Linked DNA regions of Drosophila melanogaster. The protein of the gene in region 2 interacts with the protein of the main gene of each other region in a pairwise test. Each region holds a gene or a part of one and is shown on either strand. Other genes may lie near its edges.

What was found. The genes of interacting proteins can lie anywhere in the genome.
Region 1: the proteins of CG5767 (region 2) and Cpr100A interact in a two-hybrid assay, tested with the Drosophila melanogaster proteins (one large-scale study listed by BioGRID).

Annotation. Positions count from the first base shown.
Region 1 is NT_033777.3:30,865,570-30,869,935, reverse strand, and holds Cpr100A (cuticular protein 100A), read right to left. Parts: upstream 2,416-4,366; 5' UTR 2,265-2,415; coding exon 2,253-2,264; intron 2,030-2,252; coding exon 1,782-2,029; intron 1,719-1,781; coding exon 1,253-1,718; 3' UTR 752-1,252; downstream 1-751.
Region 2 is NT_033778.4:18,045,786-18,049,635, forward strand, and holds CG5767 (uncharacterized protein), read right to left. Parts: upstream 1,700-3,850; 5' UTR 1,658-1,699; coding exon 1,607-1,657; intron 1,543-1,606; coding exon 1,216-1,542; intron 1,035-1,215; coding exon 651-1,034; 3' UTR 601-650; downstream 1-600. Other genes in the region: CG34005 (uncharacterized protein), read left to right, coding at 2,350-2,385, 2,438-2,761, 2,818-3,015; CG14495 (uncharacterized protein), read right to left, coding at 3,256-3,459, 3,544-3,850.

The DNA of each region.
Region 1 (4,366 bases), on a different chromosome or scaffold from region 2:
AAAGTACAGAGGGAAAAATGCTAAAAATAAAGACAACAATAAAATGCTAGCACTAAAAATATTTAAAAAATAAGTAAAAATGGAATCATGAATAAAATATAGTCAAATTAGAATAGATTTTGAGAGATATTGAATGAAATCAATTATTTCAGCATGCCCTGAATTAATTTATTATTTCCGAAGTAAATATATAGGTATAAGTGCAATTAAATAATAGAATAGCAATCGGTGCTCGAATTAAGTTGTAAACTATAACACACATATGCTGAGAACTCAGCAGGTGAGAGGAAATAGCAAATTAGCTGGCGGCATTCTTGCGTTCGATGGTGCATAAAATATGCAAAACATTTGGATGTTATTAAGTTGCACTAACGCAACTGGAGCCTGACGGATCGCAATACCATTGGGAATTGATTTAGAGCCCCAATCCCCTAATGAACCAGTGCCACCCCCACTTGCACATGGTTTTCCGGCTTAGCCAGCACCAGCACACCAGGCTGATTTCATTTTCATCGGAATTTTGCACAATTGGCCAAGATTACTGTCAAATGAGCGAAACCCGTTTGAGGTCTTTCCTTGTTGGCCGCATAGAATCGTAACAGAAACTCGAAACTTGTTTTGCACGTACGAAAGTCGGTTGTGTAATGCCGCATTTAGTGGGCGTTCACCACCCGAGGTGTTTAGATAAATCTGCTGGAAATTAAATAAGCGGCCACTGGCCGAAAAACAAAAGACTGCAGGACACGAACTTGGTTTCCTTCATATATTGTTTTTACTCGATTATAGTACAAATTGCTCAGACGTCCCAAGGCCCAAATTAACATAGTTTCTAAATTAATTTTGATCATTTTTCAACATCATCGAAGTTTATTGACTTCTCTTTTCTTGGGAAGACTTAAATGGAAAGATTAAAGTTTAATGGGAAAGTCACAGAGAAAAAGGCCGACATTTCTTGAGTTTTTTCATATTTCAAAAATATGCAAATGATATTTTGAATATATTTTGTAATTTAAATCAGCAATACCCATTGGGCAGCAGCGATTAATTTTCTCTGTGTAGGATTATAAATTAATAACAAACAGTACGCATATAGGAAGTACGATACAATTGCTCTTAAACATATCACACGAGAGTTTGATGGAGTCAAGAAAAGAGTAGGGGTTCTAGTTGTGATAGGGAAAGTTGGAAAAGAAGAAAGAGGATCCCTACTAATGAAGAAGATGCATAATGTCTGAGTGGAGGACAGTGGGGCTTATACCTTGTTGAAGGAGTAGGTGAAGCCATCGGGCGTGCGGTTCAGGGACAGTTTGCCGGGTGGCGAAAAGCGGTGTGGGTTGGGGGTGGTGGTGGTGTAGTACGCCTGCTGGGGTTGCGGCTGCTGATACTGGGGTTGGGGCTGCTGATACTGAGGCTGGTACTGCTGCTGCGGCTGCACGGGCTGTGGGTTGTAGGCGGGCTGGGGAGCAGGACGGTACTGCGGCTGGGCAGCGGGCTGCTGGTAGCTCTGCTGGTTCTGTCCGAAAGAGGGATCGTTGTAGCGGGGATCGTAGGAACCATCATCTCCGTAGTCATTGCTGCGGAAACTGGCCTGCGGCTGGGGAGCGGGAGCCTGGTACTGCTGCGGCTGGTACTGCTGCTGTGGCTGATATCCCGCTGTGGGCACGGGCTGTGGTGGAGCAGGTGGTGCCTGGGGCAAGTGATCTCCAGAAGCTTGGAAACTATTTCGGAATAAAAACCAAATTAATACAAGTTCGGGTATTTGTTCTATAGAAAGTGCTTACCCATTTTTGCCAGCTGTGTACGAAATAGTACGCCTCTGGCCCGTGGGATCCAGATAGCTGTAGCTGCCATGACGTGTTCCATCCGCATCCGTCTCCTCCTTGAAGTTGATGCCATCCTCCTGCTCATAGGCAGCTCCGAACTTTCCATCTCCGGACAGATAACGCTGCTCACTGATGATGGCCGCCGTTTTGGGATCCTGGTGATAGTGCTGGCTGGAAGCCAGGGCCACCAAGGTGGTCAGTGCAAGCTGTCAAGAATTCAAAATTTATTGTACAATCAAGTATTTGTGTGCTGCCAATTCCTTAATCTGAGTCATTATCACTTAACGTATTATAAGGTAAGACTTTCACTATTTAATGTGTACTCTAGAATATCCTGGTTTGAATTGACACTTTTGTCCGTCAGTTTGATTACTTTTCTCTTAATAGCTTTTAAATTGTTCGAACAGCCTTGAATAAAACACAACTCACAAATCTGAACATTTTGGTGTGGGGAATATCCTTGTCAAGCGTAAACTGCACACAATTTTATCTTCTTCTCGAGGGGGATTCACACGCGCCTTTACGCTTACAAGTCGGTTAAGAGGGAAATGGGACCGACGGCAACGGATTTGTGGAGTTAACTGCCTTCCGCAACGGTGCCGCCCAAGCTTTTTATAGTCCGAGCGGGAACCTTGGATCGCTGGATCGCCGATCGACTCCGCCTAGGCACTCCAAGCTATGTAATTGTGTTGGTACTATTAACGTTAACGGCAACAACAAGTCGGCCAAGTCGGCGTAACAATAACAAGAATCGAGCTAAGTGCTCCAATAAGTCAACTTTGGGCGAGTATTGGTATCGCGGTCGTGTTGCCAAGTCGTTTTACCAGTTTCGATCTCTTTCGCTTGGAGCGCCAACTTTTGCTTTCTATATATACGAATATATGCTATATGCACTTAGTTCCACCGTTTCTGCCTGCACCAGGCCCAAGCCCAAGACGAAAATATTTTTTAATTATTTCAAAAGTTTTTCAGCTGTAATCCAGCCTCAGCGCAGAGGTATCCTCATCTGGGAGGGGATCTATCGAAACCAGGAATTACCAATTAGTTCTGCAGAGCATGATGCAATTTTAATGGCAATAGTTTAGTTTAAGAGTAGGAAAAAAGGAAAATGTATGGAAAATACAAATAAAACGGGATATAAAATAGATTGAATAATAGTATTGTATGCCAATAATGTTGGCCTAAGCTAAAAAACAGAAATAGAAAGTAACTACAACACCCTGTGGAAGAAATTGGCAAAAGCCTCGTCTTTATTGTCTTTTTGATTTTTCCAGTGTGAAAAGCCCGTGGAAACTGTCGATTGTGATGGATAACTGGGCGGTCGCCCTCTGCTGAAAATCCGAACATATCTTGGGAAATTCGCCAAATGAGCGTTGTTAACTTTTCACTCCCCTCTTCAAGTTGTAAAGTTGTAAAGCCGTTTGTTTGCCTTTTAGCTGGATTTGCGTTCTGCATGTGCATGGCCAAGTTGATTTATATCTAGATCGGACTGAAAAGCTGGACTTTGTGGTGTGGCCAAAAGCGCTTGGCAACAATCGCCAGTGTTACCGCAATGTGTTTGACTTGTTGACTCTGCGCTGGCTTCAATTATTTATTGTGTTTGAAATGTCTGGCATTGTTTGGGCTTGTTTATGGCCAAAGCAGTTGGCCGCCCACCCACATGCCACACGCCCACTCCCACGCCCCCCACTTTGCGTAATGTTTGCAGAGAACTTTTGGCATTATTTATGATCTAACAATGCAAACAGGTCTGCATCTCCAACTTTGGTTATTTGAAGTTTTATATCTAGAGTCAAATTAACATTACATTATCTATATCGATATTCATTTTAATTTTAAAGAATTTTTCTTAAGCCCTAAAATTGAACGTAAAGAGAATTAGAGCATTTATGTATGCAAATCGGGTTTTCATATTTTAATGAGCGATTTCCACACAGCGGCACACTCTTGCACACAAAGTAGCCGCATGGGGTCGAAGATTTCGAGTAGCAACACTCTCATTTACACCGTTATTTGCCCTTTTGCAAGTCGCCATCGTCTGAACATCGCCATCATCATTACCATCGTCATTATCCGGCGGTCTTGTTTGTGTGGCCAAAAGCGGAGAACGCCCTCTCGCAGCAGGAGGCGGTGATCAGAGCAGAAAGCGGTAAAAGGAGGAGGAAATTAAATCAGTTGACAAACAACAACAGGAAACTGCAGCTATGGCATATAGTTCCGGAATATATACTTGATGTGCGAACGCCATGGCAAGGAGGCGATGGCAAGAGCAGCGGATCCAAGGTGAGGCCGAGCAGTTGAGCATGGCCGGATTAGCTTGAGGGTGTGCCCATCGGAGGGTTGAAACGGTCTAGCTACAGTGATCACTCGGAAACTAGAAATTCTAGAATTTCCTCTACTTAAAATATCTATAGAAATGGAACTACAGTTATATCTAAAATATTTAAAGATCCTTTTCTCTTTATTCCTATAGCATTATCTATATTTCCAACTTTATTATTAATTAATTCAAAATATTTCATCTAGTTAAGTAACTAAATCCG
Region 2 (3,850 bases):
TCATTAGAATAATCAAATAAATAATAATTACTATGTTATATCAACTATTATAATTCTCCCTATCATTTTTAGGATTAAAAATCTGTTAGTCTTAAGTAACCAAGACACATTGTAAAATAAAATAATTTAAGCAGATCAAATTAAGTTGCCGCATGGGTAACAGTGCGTTGATCAAATAATAAAAACATCATCGTAATAATGAAAAAAAAAAAAAAAAAAAAAAAAAAAATATAAAGTTAGCAGTTGTAATCAAATCCTATATTTTTAATAAATGAAATGAAACTCTTATCCGGCTAAAATATGTAAAATATATTATGATGACTCTTACATGCCATATGTAAAAACTTGTTTGCTCGTAAATCAACTATTTAAAAGATTTCTAGTTCATTTGACTTTTTATAGGTACTTAATGTGCTACCAACTATCTCAAGAGAGAGAGAGTGACGGTAGTAATAATATGTAAGTGTTAATAATAACTTAATGAAAAATAAAAATTTAAACAAATAAGTTTAATTGAGTTCCTTTAAATTTACATAATGATTTCGACATATAAAATAAATTTTTCTGTTCCTAAATAATGTTTAAAGGACACCTTTCATAACGTTTTTTCAAATGTTCATTTATTGCTTGTGATTACTTAAAGTTGTGACTTAAGAAGAGGCCGAAGTGCCGGAAGTGGCGGTGGTCGCCGGAGCAGCGGTTCCGGGTGCAGCGGTGGTCACAGCCACAGTGGTGTCAGCAGCGGCGGTGGACGATGCCACAACAGTGGTGCCATCAGTGACAGGAGCCCCGCTCGAGCTATCAACGGGGCTGGTGGAGGAGGGGGCGGCGGTGGAGGTGGTGGGCACTCCGTACTTCAGGCAGCTGTCCAACAGATCGTAGGTGGCAGCGGTATCCCGGACGTAGTTGCTCTCCGTGGTGTTGGTGCACTGGTACTCGGTGTCCTGGATGGCCTGGATGCCTGTGCTCAGGGAGTTGGCCGAACTGGCGGCATTGGTGGCGATGCCATAGATCACAGATACATCACTCTCGGCCTAAGGAAATAAAACGATACATTTTTTGTAACACATTAAGATTAGGTCTAAAAAAATTGACCTAGTCTCCGGCCTTTCACCATATGCGAATTACCTATACTTGTTGGGGCATATGAGTACTACTTGAACCCTAGTCTATGTTAACAACTATCATTCGGAAGATCCTTTAGCTTCAACTCACCGCATTGGCGTAGCACTTGAAGAAGTTGGTGGTATCGTTGTCGCTGTTGCAGGCGGTGAAGGCGCTGCATAGGCTGGTGACCTCCGCCTGGTAGATCTTCTGCTGCTTGTCGGCCTCGGCGGTCAGATTGGCGGTCTCCGCGTTGGCGGTGCTGATGCAGGCCTGATAGGAAGTGGAGAAGGTGGCAGCCACTTCGTTCAGCATGGGCAGATAGAGGTTGAAGCACTGGGTGGTCACATCAGCGGAAACGGTGGTATCCAAATTGCGGGCATGCACCAAATACTGGTCGAGGGCACTCTGCAGCTGCAGCTGAACATTGGGCTTGGCCTGTTCAGGAGAAAGCCAAACTGGTTATTGCCGGAATGGTGGCGAATATCAAATTATTTGTTACGTTGGCCGCCAGAACGCTGGCGAGGATTAGCACACTGCACAGAAGCTTCATGTTGGCGGTCGTTTTGTTGGCGGCTCGATCTTTACTGTCGCTGCCAAGGAAGGGGTACAAAACCTTTATATACGTGTTCGGCGGTGCGAATGATTGATCCGTTTGCCCGAAATGATATTTTTGCGAATATTTTCCTACTACCCACCGTCGATCAATTAGGTAGCATTAATGCGTATGCGTAATGCTCAGACCCACAAATTGCTTTGCATGTGCATTCCCATTCGATGCCACACACGTGTATTCAGGGTCAAAACCTGATAGTCAGAAGATAAGGTGGCCAGGAACCACCGGAAGGCCTAACTTGCGGTTCTTTGAACTTATCAAAGGTAATTTAGGAGCTTAGGGGTTTTGCGATCCGCAGAGTCGATTGCTGTAACCAATTGTTTCATACATCCCAATATCTATTGAACCATTTCGCATTACTATTTTTTTATCGAGTGACGTAATTAATTGCAAAGACCAACCAACTTTCGCCGGAAGTTTTCCTTTTAGCTAAAAGTATGCAACACTTTATACTCATCATCGAAGTGCACAGTTTGGGAGCTACTGGATCGTTATTTGCAGACGAACCCCAGCGATAAGAAGCCTATAAACAAACCATACATCACTGTCCGATTACATTACCAACTTTCGGTAACTTGACGCGGAAATTTTGCTTCGATTTCCGTCAGTGTTTTATGGTCATCAGTGCCATGAAAACAGCTATCATTCTGCTTATAGCCCTTGGGGTAAAGAAGTAATATCATTGTTATTTTTCAATAATTCCAACTACATTTCTAGGCATGTGCTGCTGAGCCTTCTCCCCGAACTCTAAACTCATTTTGCTCTTACTTAGACGATGGAAAGGAAACTGTTTCGAGTCTGGGCAACACCAAGAAGTGTTTTGCTCGTTACCTACCGGAACTGGAAAGTGAAGGGGCTACCTGGTCGCAAGGATATAATGCCTGTCAGAAGATTACCATTAACGAGCGGCTGTCCTTGCTAACGGATGCCACTGAGGCTCAGGAGGAGATTCGAGAGGCTGCCCTGGGCATATCATCATTTATTGATCAGTGTTTGGTCCTGACGGAGGCCGTGGACTTTTTCAACTGCTTTGCCAAAATGGTGAGTGGCTATGCGTTGATTCGAAACCTTCTTAACCTTTTTAGTTTCCCCCCTAGGCTAAGTTACAGTTGGCGAATGTCTACAGTATATCATTTAATGCCACCGAGCAGGCTTTAATCCTAAATAAGAAATTAAGTAGAATCGAATTGGAGCACTATCGCTGCACAAATCAAACCGAACAAAATTATGTCAAAGGAACCAATACAATCTTTCGATCTTTGGATCAGTGTCTGCAGCAAAATGATACACACTGAGTTGAACATTAATAAATATTTATTGTACTTCCATGTATAATATAACTTAACTATGGAAGTTATATATATATACTGACTTAATATATCTAAGATGGATCTGGCAATTAACAAATCCTAAAAGTTTTATTCTTATCAGCCAATAATATCAATTCTTGGTAAACTATAGTGATTTAGCTGCTTATATGATGGTGTTTATTCACCCTTAATCATTTTGTTAGTATAGTGACAGATAAGCGACGACTACTCGTTAAGCTCGTCGATTTCGGATCGACATTTAGTGAGTTCTCTGTGGGCCTGTCTTATGTCCTCCATGTACTTTTTTTGGGCATCGAGGCCGCAAAGCAGAAGCGCCCGATGCACTGCATCATAGTCCTCGTGAAGTCGTGTGTAAGCACTTGTGGCATTGTAATTTATTTCGGTCAGAATGTCGAGGTTATGGATTCCCTAAAAACAAATGGTTAAATTTGCACTTAAAATTTCGAACTCTACACACTTAATAGTCATCTTTAACATAATTCAAAAACTTACGTTCTTATTGATGCACTGAAAGTACTCCAGATCGTCAACCAATGTATCGCAGATTTGCATATTGCCGCACACCGCACTGGATCCCAACTCGATTTGGAGTCGCTCCAGTTCAACATCGACCTCTAGATTGATGATGGTCTCATTGGCATTCAGTTCGCACAGATCGTAGGAATCGGAGAAGACCAGTGAAGCGTTGGCACAGGCAATGGTGAACTCATCGTGGCATTCGTCTATCGTGAGATCCGGTTCGGGAGTGAACAAATCCGGCATCTCACCAGCCACCGAAAAACCCAAAAATAGGACACAC